Linked DNA regions of Canis lupus familiaris. Each later gene encodes a partner of the first gene's protein in a complex. Links are inferred from orthologs where the notes say so. Each region holds a gene or a part of one and is shown in the gene's direction. Other genes may lie near its edges. The genes, in order: STX12 and VTI1A.

Region 1 (4,260 bases):
GCCAGTTTCCCCTTCATTTCTTCCTATCTTGATCCCTTCCCAAACCCAAATCCTACCCACGTCTGTCCCTTTATGATAAGTTCACAAAATGCAGTCTTCTGTGGGAACATTGAGGTCATATGCTCAAAATTAGGGAATGATTTTTCTCCCATCCTCAAGGGAATGTTTTTTAAAATTTGAGAATCTAGTTCTCTAAAAAAAAAAAAAACCTGGTTTGGGATATACAGTAAATGAAGAGGCTGTTTGGGAAGGATTTAGATGGAGAATGAATTTGGGAATATGAGAATGCGTTTTAGGGAAGTAGCAAGATGAAGACGTAGTTAGCTTAGTGTTTGGGTTTTGCAGTCAAATCTCAGAAAAGCAAATTAACCCCTCTGGCCTTAGTTTTCTCCGTTTTGTAAAGGGGTAAATAACTCTTGACGAGTTACTTTGCTTCAACATTAAAAAAAAAATCGATTTTCCATTATCTATTCTGAACGTAAAGATAGTTAGAACATTGTCCCTTGTCTATGAACAAGTGAATTGCGGTGAAGATTGATACATAGCATGTGCTCAATAACTATTATTATCATCGCTTTATTGTTTGGATTAGAAGAGGGGTGGAGGGAGTAATGAAAGCGACCTGTACACCTTAGAGGTGCTCCGCAATTACTACCAAAGCCCTACAGGATGGAAGTAGAGTGGGGAATTTCAGGAGTTCGGTTACCGCTCTGAGTTACAGGGGTGTGGAATTCTCCCATATATGGGCCCGACTTCTCAGTATAGAACAGAATAGGATGCTAGGGCTGAGGTCATCTGGTACAGTATTATGCTAATCAAGAATCCTCGCCTCCCGTCGCCGTGCTCTCGGCGAGAAACAACACGGTCACACCGGCTCCTCCAATCCGAGCCCTAACCGCGTGACGTCATCGCCCCGCCCCATTTCCCCAAGGCCCAGGCGGCCAGTCTCTAAGCGCCTCTCCGCGGCACCAGTTCCAGCGGCGCCTGCGCACGCGCGGCGGGGCGGGGCGGACGCGTGCGCGCGGCGTGGGGGCGGAGCCAGTGCGCACGCATCCCGAGCCCCTTCCCCCGCCCTTTCTCTTCTCGGTTTCCCCGTCAGGCTGCGGGTTCAGTCTGGCGGCTGCTTCCGGTAGGAGCGCGGTGCCGGGAGAGTCGGTCTCAGTTCCTCGTCATGTCCTACGGTCCCTTAGACATGTATCGGAACCCGGGGTCCTCTGGGCCCCAGCTCCGGGACTTCAACAGCATCATACAGACGTGCAGTGGCAACATCCAGCGGATCAGCCAAGCCAGTGAGCTGGGGGACGGGGCTGGGGGGCGGGGGCCGTCCCGGGGCCGGGCCTGGGTGAGGTTGCCGGGATGCGGAGCCCGGCCGAGGCTACGGGCTACGGCCAAAGCCACACCTGAGGCAGTCTCGGGCTCTCCACTGCGGGGGCGGCAGCTGTCATCCTTGAGTGTGTCAGGCCCAGGCTCCCCGAGGGTCCCCAGCCCCAGCTGAAGCTTGAATTTCTTCTCAGGTGTCCTGCCCTCATGATATTGGGGCCGAAGCAGCAGTCCTGACAGCCCTGGGGTGGGAGGGGTGTGTGTGTCATCTCGGGAGTAGTGAGTGAGTTGACTTGGCGCAGTGGTCAGCCGAGTTTTTCCTGTCATTTGCCTTACCCCCACCCACCGCCCTTTCCTCTTTGGCCAGCTTGGATCAGGAGTTGTTTACTGATCTAGACTTTAAGTTTACATTCTGCTCAGCTTTTTGCTCCTTGGAAATCAGCTTTCAGTTAAGGGAAGTGGGGAGTGCATGTATTTGGGTGACTTAATACCCAGCTCTTCCTCTAATGAATTTGGAAATCAGATATAATGACTTGTGTTTGAGGAGTGAAATGACTTATGTTTTAATAAAGAGAATTCACCGAAAACATTCCCCTTGACATGGTTTTGTCTTTTGTAGCAAAGATTTGCACATTTATTTGGATTTCAAGCTGACGAAGCTTCTGCATTCCTTCCCTATTTAGCTGCTTTTTTGAACAAATCTCATACACAGAGAAGCTCAGGATCACAATCACACAGGAAGTAAGACATGGTAGAGTTAGTGGTGGATTTCAGAATGTCGTTGCTTGTCTTAAAACTACTCCCCCACCCCCATCATTGGGTCTGAGTAAGACTGAGCTGATTGAGACAAATACAGGCAGGTTCTTGTGCCTGAAGATCATTGCAGAGAGCCCTATAATCAGGTTAGTGGCACAACTTTACTTGGAAAGAATGGTGATCAGCATCCTTTATTATTGTGTTTTTGTGAGCTTGGCTCTACTCTGTTGATAGAACTCAGTTGGTCCTAAATTATAATTATGTTCTATATATAAAGAGGGGGAAAGTTTCTGATGGAAAGAGTGTGAGACCAGGTGAATTGGAAGTGGAAGGAAAAATATGTGGCCTGTTAGGATAGAAATTTAAAAACATTAATATGACCACTGATTTGAAAGTGTAGTACTTTGTGTTCCAATGTCTCCTTTTGTGAGGGAGCTGTAGTACCAGTTAGGTCAGGAAGATTCTGGTTCAAGGCTGAAAGTTTATTGTTGAGGCTAAATCTAACCTTAATGTCTGTTTGAGAAATTTTCATTCTACAAATGTTTGTTTGACTATTAGATATACTCATATTGAGTATAGGAACTGTCATAGCCTGGATTCTTTCAACAGGGAGCCTATGGAGTACGTAACAACTGAAGTATAAAGTTGAAAGGGTTCAGTACTGAAGAATAGGTATAACAACATTGAGTAGGTATTCAGGGGGAAAAGATACCAATTTCACTTGGGAGGGATCTGGGAAACCCATTGTGGCATTTGAGCAAGTCTGGAAAGTAGTAGAAAGGATTTGAACTTTTAACAGTGAGGAAGGGAAGAGGAGGGAATAAAATGAACAAGGCGTGGTAGTGGGAAAGCATGGGGTGTATATAGAAAAGTAGAGTGATTTAATTTGGCTAGAAGGGATTCTAGAAAGTTGTGGAAAATTGCGTTGGAAAGGTAAGTTGAGGGCAGCCCAGGTGGCTCAGCGGTTTAGCGCTGCCTTTGGCCCAGGGTGTGATCCTGGAGACTCGGGATCAGGTCCCACGTCGGGCTCCCTGCATGAAGCCTGCTTCTCCCTCTGCCTGTGTCTCTGCCTCTCTCTTTCTCTCTGTGTCTCTCATTAATAAATAAAATATTAGGAAAAAAAAAAGGAAAGGTAAGTTGGGGCCCAAACATGAAGGGCTTTAAGCGCTAAACTAAAGGGGGGTGGATTTAGTCTTTTTTTTTTTTTTTTTTTTTTTGAGTATTTATTTGTGAGAGAGAAAATGAGTGGAGATGAGGGTGGGAGGAAGGGACAGAAGGAAGAGCAGACTCTCCACTGAGCAGGGCGCCTGACCCAGGGACCTTGAGACATGAACTGAGCCAAAGGCAGCTACTTAACCAGCTAAGCCACCCAGGAGTCCCTTGGATTTAGTTCTTTAGGAATGTATAAATTGAATTGGAAGGGAAAAACTGGAATTAGAGACACCAGTCAGGAACTGTGAAAATGAAAAGGAAGGAAAGGATAGGCTTCTGTGGTGACAGAATTGATAAGATTTAGCTGTTGGTTGGGTATTGGGCTCAAGGGATTATTGGAGTCAACCATTAATAACACTAATAGCTAACATTTGAGTACATTCTGTGTGCCAGGCAATTTGAAAAGTGCTTCATATGCATTATCTTACTTAATTTTTTAACAACTCCGTTTAAGTAATTACCAATATTATTTCTTTTTATGGGTTAGGAAACAGATTGATAAAGTTTAAATAATTACTGAGCAAACAAATGACAATTTCTGAATTTGAAACCAGATCTGTCTCTTATGACCAATAATTAGCCTTTTTATACTTTTTAATTAATATTATATTTGTAGCAGTTAGCACTTTTAAAAAAATATTTTATTTATTTATTCATGAGAGAGAGAGGCAGAGACCTAGGCAGAGGGAGAAGCAGGCTCCATTCAGGGAGCCCGATGTGGGACTCGATCCGGGATCCCGGGATCACACCATAAGCCAAAGGCAGATGCTCAACCGCTGAGGCAGGCATCCCAGCAGTTAGCACTTCAAGTTACAAGTGACATTTTTTCCTCTCCATAGAAAATTGGGGAATGCCTGAGGCTGTAGAACTTTCTCATGTGGTGTGTCTAACCTCCCCTGCTAGATTGTTAGCTCCTTTGAAGAAACATGGGGCATGACTTATTCATCTTTATATTTCTAGTACTTATCTCAG
Region 2 (3,815 bases), on another chromosome or scaffold:
TGCAGGGGCTTGATCTTCCTTACTGGCCATGTCCCCAACATATGATTTTTTACTAAGTGCATTGATTCCCATGTATTATGCAATTACATGCATTTGTATGGTATCCTATAGCTTTCAAAACATTTTTACTTAGGTTAATTTCATTTGACTATAGCAACAATTTTGTAAGAAAGGTAGGACAGATCTTTTATCTTGTGATACCCAGTTCCAGTGGGTTGTGGCAGACCTAGGATGGGAGGGGGCCCAATCCCCTAGGATGGGGGGAACAGTCCATTGGTTCTTAATATCATTCATCATCATTCAACAAATGCTTATTATTGCTATAGGCGAGTCACTGTGTTAAGTATTCTAACTGAATTATTTAACCTTTACCACAGCCCCTTGACATAGAATAATCTTCTTTCCATTTTAGAAGTAAAGAACTAAGGCAAAATGAAGCTAGGTAACATATGCAACGTCACACAGCCAGTAAGCGTCAGCACTGAGGATTAGGCTCACACAGTGTGAGTTCCCAATCTAAACTCTCAATATGGCCTAACCACTGCTCCACAGTTTTTAGGATGTCCCTCTGAAAAGTTTGTTGGTATACATCCATGAGCCAAATAACTACCATGGTGACTTCCTAATGATTTCATTAAATTATTTGCTATAGTAATAGATGCTTGTTTAGTGTTGCAATAAATTTATAAGCCAGAGATAGTTGTTGTATAGGTTGTAGGTAAAGAGACAATACAAAAAGAAAAAAAAAAAAAAAATGTAGATACGTGGTAGTCAGATAGGTTGCCAGTATTACAAGTGTGTCAGATTTGTCATTCTTCTATTATAGAATAAGGTACCTCCCAGGTGATGGAGAATGAGTCTAAAAAAAAAAATTTAATTCAAGGCAGCTGAATATTTGTCAGGTTAGGACATACCTAGAGTCTTGTAAAAGAAGGAGAGCCGACCAGTGCCAACCAAATGGGATGATCACGGCAGAGGAAAACCTCATCGGAACTCAGCAGCGTGCTTTTTAATGAATGTTCTAACCTGCCTATTCCTGTATAAATGGAAGTTCTGTTTGCAGCTTGAGCTTTCCTCAGCCATGTGTGAAGTGCACCTCATCCTGACTCAAGTATCCACAGCAGCTAAGAACACACTAACGGAACCCTTGCTCCAAGAGAGCAAAAGCCTAGAGAGAGTTCCACTAGCAATAAGCTGCAGTAGTTGAGATTCTGAGGACTGTGTATGGGACGAATACATTAAAATCAAAATTGTTCTAACTGGAGGTTTGCCTACATACGCAAAGCAGTGCAATAATAAAGTGGGGGAGGTAGAGTAGAATCATTAACATTAGTTGTAACCTGCAAAACCGAGACTAGATTCCTATGTAATGATAAAATTATTGGAAGACCATTGGACCTGGGCTTTTCATCTTGCATCTTGGCAGATAACAAATATGCTGAGGTGGCCTTCGGCAAGTCGTATCACCTCTCAATCATCACTGCCTTGTTGGTTATGTTCTATAGGTTGAATTGTAAATCCCATGTAATCATATCTAAGATATATAGGTAAATTTATTAAATACTTTAAAAATATTTTTTATGTATAAGAACTATGTGTCCGATATGTAATGTACACTTATTAAACATGAACTCTGTGCCACTGCCATCGTGGTACCCCTAGAGTTTGTTTCCACTTACACCAAAAGCCACCCTTCCTCACTCAAATTTCCTTTTCAATAGAGCAAATTGGCCAGGAGATGTTGGAAAACCTCAGTCATGACAGAGAAAAGATACAGCGTGCACGTGAACGAGTAAGTAAGAAGGGATACAAAATTCTTTTCATAAATTCGGTAAATGATAAGACATAAAACAAAAGGCCTCCAACACATCCATAGACAGTAGTGATGACATAGATGTAAGTGTGTATAAAAATGGCAAGGGTAGTTGAGGGATGTCGAGTAAGGGGAGAAGAAAAAGAGTGGAATGGAGAAAGAAGCTGACTCTTTCCCCATCCTTAAATGCCCCCAGGTAGATATTTTATTTAGCTCTATAACTGAGAAGGTCAGACTTTGGAGTATGTCAAGTCTTACAGAATGAAAGCTGTAAAGATAGTGATGTCTCATCCTCCCTCAGTTTACTTCATTTCCGTTCATATATCTAGGACTTCACGCATTCAAAATTGGATTTTAATTACGAGATGTATATTCAGCATTGTCCGCCTAAGAGACATGCTTTTATCGCCGGTTCAAGTATCCAGTTTAATGCTCCTGGGATCATCTATTACATGTAATTTCTTAAATCTAAGAATTTTCAGAGATTGTGTAGGTGTCATGATGTATTTTAATGTATTTAAGTATCTATTATTAATTGGATTTCCATCCATGAAAAACAATTACTGCTTGCCAGTGCATTTGCAAAATGATCCAACTGCACGAAGTTTTGTTTTAACATTCCTTTTCTCCTCCTAGCTTCGGGAAACAGATGCTAACTTGGGGAAAAGCTCCAGGGTTCTGACAGGGATGTTGCGAAGGTAAGAGTAAGGTAGGGACCTATCTTCCTCTCTCTCCCTTTTTTGAAACGACGGTTTTCATCTAGTTGCAACTGGCCATATTCCAGGCATGCAAGCCTCTGCTCTTAGTACCCTGGGTCAAGACCCTTTTGAAATAACAGAGCACTGATATTAACTCTTGTTTGGACAGAGACACATGCTGAGTAGCTTAGATTAGAGAGAAGGTTTGAGCTAGGGGGGTTACCTCAAGCTATGGAAAAAATTAGGGTTAGACATGAAGTCTTTTTTCATAGCCCGAGGAAGTCCCCATGGCAGGAACAGACCGATTTTATTTTCTATTTCGATAGCCTCCTTCTTATAGAAGGAATGCGGGCCTGCGGGTATTAGCTGTGTTCTCTCTCTGTTGCCTTGTTTTCATTTTATTTCTTTAAGAGATGCTGTTTGGGGAAATATTTCAATTTTACATATATTTAAAGATGATTTTTAAAATTTAAATATTATCTAAAGAATCTGAATTCACATGTGCGAGCAAACAAATGTCAGTGTTTTATGTGCGTTAATTAACCTTTGACTGATGGAAGATATTTGGGAAAGTAAGTGAAAATAAATGAATGCCTGGGTAATACACTATATTCTGTATTTTTCAAGGGGGAAGTAAGAAATGTTTTCATTGTTCTGAAAATCAGAGCCATTTTTTACTTAGGATATCTAGCATGGTACTTTCTTACATTCAGTATCTACCAAATAAGATTATCATCTAGCATAACCTTCAGTTTGGGACTGTAGCTGGAAATGTGAATGAGGAATGTCAAGAATCGCCTCTAGAATAACTTAATTGGGATTTTACAGAAGAAATCTTTTAGCACTAATACTGTAGAGACAACTGTTTTAGAGTAAGGAAAATCATCTCTACTCAGGTATCTGTATATAATAATTTATTAGGAGTGTTTTTGCTGCATTAGCGATGGATGGCACAAGCAGTGGATAGTTACTTGGTCTCTATCAGGCTGATCAGTAGCGAGCCTGGAGTTCCTGCGACACCTCCAACTAACACTGACCTAACTCCACATGCCCCTGCTTTTCCTACAGGCACAGTGCCAATTCAGAACCATAAGACACCAAATTCTCTGCCTAAGAGTAATATGTAAATGATCTAGAAACACTCAAAATCCACACAGAAGTGGCAATTGAAAGGAATGCTTCAGTGCTTATAGACAATAAAAAAGGGAAAAAAAGGAAAAAAGTCCTCTATTGCTTCCCTGGGAGGGCCCCTGCGATGTGAGCTGTAACGAATATTCTGCATATGTCTCCATTTTGTCAAATCT

What was found.
Region 2: the proteins of STX12 (region 1) and VTI1A are in contact, whole or in part, in a crystal structure (PDB 2NPS), measured with the Rattus norvegicus proteins. The link is inferred for Canis lupus familiaris from reciprocal best matches to the Homo sapiens genes STX12 and VTI1A. Residues at the interface, in NP_075228.2 of Rattus norvegicus: Glu185, Ile188, Gln189, Leu191, Glu192, Ile195, Leu196, Val198, Asn199, Phe202, Lys203, Leu205, Ala206, Ile209, His210, Gly213, Ile216, Asp217, Glu220, Val223, Glu224, Ser226, Glu227, Val230, Glu231, Ala233, Ser234, Asp235, Leu237, Gln238; in XP_038945999.1 of Rattus norvegicus: Arg131, Arg134, Ser135, Arg138, Leu139, Ala141, Gly142, Ile145, Ala146, Glu148, Thr149, Ile152, Gly153, Met156, Asn159, Leu160, Asp163, Arg166, Arg169, Ala170, Arg173, Leu174, Glu176, Thr177, Asn180, Leu181, Lys183, Ser184, Ile187, Leu188.

What each region holds. Positions count from the first base shown.
Region 1 is NC_049223.1:71,975,015-71,979,274, reverse strand, and holds the start of STX12 (syntaxin-12), read left to right. Parts: upstream 1-1,171; coding exon 1,172-1,289; intron 1,290-4,260. UniProt on the Homo sapiens protein: SNARE promoting fusion of transport vesicles with target membranes. Together with SNARE STX6, promotes movement of vesicles from endosomes to the cell membrane, and may therefore function in the endocytic recycling pathway.
Region 2 is NC_049249.1:23,995,961-23,999,775, forward strand, and holds part of VTI1A (vesicle transport through interaction with t-SNAREs homolog 1A), read left to right. Parts: intron 1-1,721; coding exon 1,722-1,792; intron 1,793-2,449; coding exon 2,450-2,511; coding exon of another isoform or gene 2,512-2,515; exon of another isoform or gene 2,516-2,522; intron 2,523-3,579; coding exon of another isoform or gene 3,580-3,604; exon of another isoform or gene 3,605-3,815. UniProt on the Homo sapiens protein: V-SNARE that mediates vesicle transport pathways through interactions with t-SNAREs on the target membrane. These interactions are proposed to mediate aspects of the specificity of vesicle trafficking and to promote fusion of the lipid bilayers.